Linked DNA regions of Xenopus tropicalis. The main gene of each other region encodes a partner of the protein of the gene in region 2 in a complex. Links are inferred from orthologs where the notes say so. Each region holds a gene or a part of one and is shown on either strand. Other genes may lie near its edges. The genes, in order: unc13a and rims2.

Region 1 (3,838 bases), on a different chromosome or scaffold from region 2:
TTGTAAACATGGTTTTTCTGAAAGGTTGACAAAGTAAAGTCATGTTATTGTACAATACCTTACCTTTACTATTATTTAGCATTAGCTTTACGTAAGCATTAGTTTCATAGTGTGGCATATTATTAATGTACTTACTAGCTCTTCATTGTTTAAGGTGCTTGTTGCAAGAGCAGAAGTAATCCCAGCCTTCCGTGACTGAACCAGTGACTAAGGTGAGATGAATGAGAGATTGGAACCAATAAGGCATGGATACTAGACATATAAATACAATAAGTAACGTATCAACTGAAATATTTGCCAACAGGGGAGTTTTTTTTACTAGGTCATGGGCAACATGAATATACCTATACGGCAATTTCTAGTTTTTAAAAGAAAAATACTATTCAAGAGCATAATGATATCAAACTATGTTGTTTTTTTGTAATTTCTTCCTAATAAAGTGATCTGTTAGGAATAAGACTTTCCACCTTTTTGTTGTGCAAAATGTTGGTCATTTTTCACTTGAAGACATGAATTGCATGTGAAATGCAAAAAAGGAAAAGTTGTGTTCACTGCTAAATGTTAAACCTTTAAAGGGGGGTCCGATGAGAGTGTGACCACAAAATTCACCCCCTCCTAAAGGTTTAAAATGTAGTGGTGAGCACAACTTTCCCTCTTTTGCTATAATAAATACAGTAGCAGTGGCCAGCTCCTTGTTGCAGCTCCCACCCTTCCCAGCTACAGTCAGGTGATCCCAGTAGAGCCAATAAAAGGCCAACTATTTAGGAATTTTAAACTTGAAAGCAAGCTGCAGGTAAAACATAGTCTCTGTGTAATATGTATAATGAAGCAGTGGAATTCTTAATGAATCAGACGAAAGTGATTGTAGTACTGGCCAGACTGGGGATGACTTTGACGTAGCTGGCCTATATTGCAATATATTGACAAACAATCCATGTTTTGTTTAAAGAGGAGGGTATTTTTTTGGTGGCTTGATGCATGGAATGTCTTGTGTCCTTAGAATGTTGATAATGGGTGAGTGCAGAGGACCTTTATTGCAGATCATATCCCACTGTTATTAGGCCCTGCTCTATTGCATGCCCAGCTGCATTTAGCTACATTTTAAAACAACTGCAAAAAAAAAAACTCCTACCGCCCCTATCTAATGCAGCAATCTCTCAATATCCTCTGGTATGTTTATTATTTTGCACAACTATAATATATGTCTGTATATGTAAATGTCAGAGCTTCTAGTACCTCAGATTACTTTCTGTCCTCCCTGCTTATACAAGGTATGGCTTAAACAAGAAAAAAAAGGTGCAAGAGGGATGGCACGTACCCAATGATGATGATTAATCACTATTTGTAAGATAGCATCATATGTGGTGCTTTATGTCCAGGCTCTTTTTTAAAGGACAAGGCAATGCAAAATATAATTTTTTGCCTAATAAAAGAAACCAAAATTCTAAGCAGCTTTGTAATATACATTTATTACAAGTTTGTAATGGTTGTTGAGTTATTTGTATATATAAATTGCTATTAGAAGCAGTGTTTGCCTGTCCTTTTCTATTCTCTGCCCTGGTGGCTCTGACTGTTGCAACAATGTAACACAAGGCAGCAGACTTACAGACTTGACTTGCTGGAGAAGCAAGACCTTTGCAACATTGTTTAAAATGTTACAACCAGAAGTTCAGCAAATGCTGCTTTCAATAGCAATTACATTTACAAATAATGTTTAAAGCGCTACAAATTTTTAATTATTTCATATTGGAAAGTTGCTTAGAATTATGTTTTCTTTCATTATGCAAAAAATTATTTTTTTTTAAGAAATGTCAGTTTGCCAGAACACTTGCTACATTTGCCCAAAAACCCATTAAAGTGGACCTGTCACCCAAGCATAAAAAGCTGTATAATAAAAGTCCTTTTAAAATTAAACATGAAACCCAAATTCCTTTTGTTATTAACACATCTATACCCATTATAAAGGCATTTAAATATCCCAGCTGTCAATCATATATTGCCTGCCCTGCCTCTATGCCTTAGGCATAGAGGCAGGGCAGAGCATTACTTAAACTTTTCATTCAGCACTCATTTTTCCCCTCTCTCCTCATCATCTAATTGTGTAGCCAGTGCATGGACATAGGTATTAGGTCCCCCATTCTGGCCCAGAAACAAGATTTTGGGGTTATACAAAGCTTGTCTTTATAACAATGCCCACAAAATGGCAGCTGCCTGCTTGCTGTGATTGTGAATTCCTGACGACTGAAGGAAACCAGATTTATATTGTTTATATGGTGTAAGTGAAGGTTATTTTGCTTGACAAACACAATAAATAACAATTTGTAATTATTTCTTAGGGTGACAGGTCCCCTTTAATAAGATGTTTGTTTTTGATAAGGGGACCAGTAAATGCTACCTGCTGATTGGTTGCTATGGAAACTCAATTTTACAATATAGCAACTTATATAGCAACCATATAGTTTACATTCTTTTCTTTTGTGAATTAAAAAGAATCATTTCTATGCAGTTTTTATATAAACATAGTTTATTGCGGGGAAAGGGGCCACAAAGCCATCCTCTACTTACCATTGCCTTGGAACATTAAAGGAAGCATTAAATGGAACAAAATGATTAGAACATTTCCATCAAAGAAATCTATGCAATTAGGATTAGTTGTATATGAAAACAGTCATGTCTATTCAGTAATCAACAATGAATGGGATGGCAAAGTAACAATAATGGTTAAAGTGGTTTAGGGCACCCCTTTTTATAATACAGTTAGAGAGCTATATTTCATTCATTAAATCGGAACACTATAGGAAGCATGAAGCACCTTCACCAATTAAAGAAGAAGGAACAGTCAAAACTGGGTGTGTTGATTCATATTTAATGCCACCTGGTTCCTCAGTTAGGAATAAAACATTGCTTGTTATTATATTTTCACTCCATTTTACATTACATTTTTAAATTGTTATATTTATAACTTCCTGCTTTACAGAATGCCTATGGACACCTATTATAAAACTACTGAAAACACTATTTTGTGGTACAAATAAATATTTTTCTGTTCGTCACAGAGAAACAAATCCCCTTTCTATTTATTCCTATGGGATTTTTATAAGTGTATTTATCAAATGGTAATATGTTGATATATATATGCTTGTAAAAATCCCATACTGATGAATAGAAAGTTGGTGAGTTTTGATACATCTGCCCCATATTATTTGCTCTGTGTAGGCCCATTAGAATCACCTTTGGCACCACCTCAAAAAGAATACCAAACCTATTTTTAATCCTAATTGTAGCAATTGCCCAAGATAGATATGCCCAGCATCTGCAATGTATGCATCTGCATCTGCTGGATGACTATGTTCGCACACTATATCATGCTTTCAGTTGCAGATAAGCAAAACTGGTTAATCTTCACTGGATATGACTAATATGACAAGTCTTCACTATGTTGCTGTTGATAATTCTCATTTCTTCCAACTGATTTTAAACCTGTTTATTTAAGTAGGGCTTAGGACCAAGAGCAGACTTACCAGGTCACTGACCAACGGGATTGGTTTCCTCTTTCGTATGTCTGGCATACTGTCTATAATTATAAGACCACCAGCTGGCCTATGGTAAAAAGAAGACATAGGCATAATAAATGTAAACAAATGATAGATAGATAGATAGATAGATATATGATAGATTGCAATTAACACACACATATATACAGTACGATATAGTGTACTGCACTGTTAAACTGCGAAGTCTCTAAAAATTTTACTTACCCATCCTTAAACCAGAGGGATTTGGACATCTCCCCAGTCCCTTCACCTCGTGCCTGTGAAGTAAGTTTAACATAAATAAA
Region 2 (2,688 bases):
AAGCCATGTTGCAAAATCGTTTTTTTTTTTTGTTTTTGTTTTTTTGTTTTTCAACATGCTTGAATGAAAGAAAATACGGCATCCCACGAGGATCAGAAAAGGCCGTAATGCAGTGATATCTTCTCTGCCGCTCAGGGGGAGGGATCAAAACAGTAACGTTTTCCTTTTGTTTATTTTCTATCAGACAATACAAGAATGCAGGGAGGAAAAAATTCTGCAATCCTTGATCAAAAAAGCATTAGAATCAGTGATCAGATGGGGGGGAGGGGACATGGGGCGGAAGGACAAAATGCAAAAATGTCTATGGATGAGAAGAAGTGACAGAAAGGGACAATGTACAATTCTGCACGGAAATGTTCAACTTTACAAGGCTTGGACCTTTTACATTTAAATAAATCTTATATGTTACATTTATTTCTCGTCACATCAACAGAATTTTAAATATTTGCTATAAATGATTCGTTTTGTTTTTCTGTCGAATATAAGTCTGCAAAAAGAAAAAAAAAAAACGAAAAAAAAAACCACAGACCGTGATTGGTTGTTAAGAATGAGAAAGGTGGTTGTTGTCATCGTATCACGCGGTTGCATTCTCTCCCTTTTTATAACATGCACTAGTGACATTTTTTTTTTGTTTTCATAAAAATCATATAAATTGTTGAAAATGGCTGATTCTTTTTTGTTATTTTGTCGTTTATTTTTGTGTGGTTTTTTTTTTTGCAAGTTGCAGCCCAAATAAAATCATTTTAGTGTTTACTTAGATCCATGTCCATGCAAAAAAAAAAAAAAAATATATATATATATATAATTTTTCTTTAAATTTCATACAGTACAGAATAACCACAGAAATAAAAAAATCTTCCCTGGAGAGATCTTGCGCGGTGGGCTCGTTGCGTTAAACGCGTCGCCAACCTTTCCAAAGCGAATGGGCTGTGTAATATCTCGTAACGACTGTCCTTAATAACACTGGGCCATCTCTTTCTCCTGTGGTCTCCTAGTTTTCTGCTTTGCTTGCTTTAGATCTCATTCTTCGGCTTACCCGGTCTTTGGGGTCAAATACAAAAATGAAATACATTTTCCAAAAAAACCCAAAAAACTAGCAACAATATGACATGTCATTGATTATGACTTTTGTTGCATGAAAGATTGACTTTTTTTTTTAATAGTGTCAGTTATCCATGGCTTCAGATTCAACTAGAACTGAACTTCTCTGGTCTCCAACCCTGTTGGTCATGCGTAACTCCGCTCCTTCCCCTGAGAGCCTTCTTTAGCGCACAATGTGTGCAACTTCCTCTGAGAACACAGGATCGCTTGGAATCCCTAGAAACAGGCTCAGAAGACACAACATTAAGCATGCAGTGTTTACCAGGGTTTGCGACCTGTTGTTTTTGTTTTGTTGAGATTTTACATTTTTTGTAACGCTGGTTGCACAGACAAGTTGTTTTTCACAGATGCTATGAACGAGCATAAGAAGGTCCCGTGGAGCTTTCAAGAGATGATTGGGAAGCTCTCCTAGTGAGTGGAGCCAACGTTGGGTCTACTAAAGATGAAGGGGGGAAAAGTTTATACCATCCAATCACCATGCTGGATAGGTCCAGTTCATCTAAAAGTATCTGAGCCACCCCCATGAAGGACTTGTGGTCCATGCGTCCATAGTCACCCCAAACAATGATCTGATGGAGCAAAGGAAAAGAGAAAGATAATAAGCGAAACAGTAACAACACTGCACTCAAAACAGTTCTTTACTGGGAATTTGATCCAAGTAGCTTATCGTTTAACATAAGATAAGGGATCTTGGGAAAAATGTCCAATTATAGTAAAATAATAGACCAGAACATTAACTCAATGGAGACTAGAAAGACAGATAGAGATAGATATACTGAGAAAGAAAGATAACAGACAGATAAATAGATAGAGATTGAATGATAGCTAGACAGACAGACAGAGAGATAAATAGATAGATGATAGATAGAACAATAGATAGACAGATAGATAGAATGACAGATAAAGATGATAGAAAAATAGAACGTTAGATAGACAGACAGATAGACAGAATGATATAGACAGATAGAATGATAGACAGATAGAATGATAGATATAGATAGAAAGATAGACAGATAGACAGACAGAAAGACAGACAAGCAGGAGGAGGGTTACAGAGCTACTTTGCTAATCAATGTTAGAACCTTACCTGTAGGACCTTCCCTTGTGGTGATTCCTCAAACGCTAACACTTGCTGGTATAGAGGCTCCAGCGTTTTTCTTGCTACTTTTGTTTTCTTTTTGGCTATGCACACTCCATTTTCTAAGAGATACACCTTAACATAGGGTGCTAGAAAGGAAGAGAAACAGATTGAAGTGACTGAGGAGCAATCTACTGCGCCAATGCTTACAATATGCAACAAATGCAAAAATACCCCATAAACATTTAAAATAATGATTATCTATGATAGATATGAGATTCCCCTGAGGAAGTCACTTGATGACGAAACGCGTTGGGCCTCATTGATTGATTCGTATTGTACTGCAACAATTGCAAGTGCAACTTTTATGTATTAAACTATTTACTTTTGATTTTACACTATAAGAGTGCGCCTGTTTTCATGTGTTTTTAACTGAAGGGGAGAATATTCATTAGCTAATGCTTTTTTGGATCTTCCTCAAGTTAAAAGGAGAAGGAAAGGTAAAAACT

What was found.
Region 1: the proteins of rims2 (region 2) and unc13a are in contact, whole or in part, in a crystal structure (PDB 2CJS), measured with the Rattus norvegicus proteins. The link is inferred for Xenopus tropicalis from reciprocal best matches to the Homo sapiens genes RIMS2 and UNC13A. Residues at the interface, in XP_063118965.1 of Rattus norvegicus: Asp102, Gly103, Cys104, Ser109, Gln112, Val123, Leu125, Ser127, Asn128, Lys129, Val134, Met135, Trp136; in NP_074052.2 of Rattus norvegicus: Tyr23, Ile36, Trp65, Leu69, Ile70, Trp71, Asp72, Thr73, Met74.

What each region holds. Positions count from the first base shown.
Region 1 is NC_030677.2:98,801,902-98,805,739, reverse strand, and holds part of unc13a (protein unc-13 homolog A), read right to left. Parts: intron 3,812-3,838; coding exon 3,759-3,811; intron 3,601-3,758; coding exon 3,522-3,600; intron 2,572-3,521; coding exon 2,566-2,571; intron 208-2,565; coding exon 136-207; intron 18-135; coding exon 1-17. UniProt on the Homo sapiens protein: Plays a role in vesicle maturation during exocytosis as a target of the diacylglycerol second messenger pathway.
Region 2 is NC_030682.2:132,097,997-132,100,684, reverse strand, and holds part of rims2 (regulating synaptic membrane exocytosis protein 2), read right to left. Parts: intron 2,329-2,688; coding exon 2,189-2,328; intron 1,671-2,188; coding exon 1,452-1,670; 3' UTR 1-1,451. UniProt on the Homo sapiens protein: Rab effector involved in exocytosis. May act as scaffold protein. Plays a role in dendrite formation by melanocytes.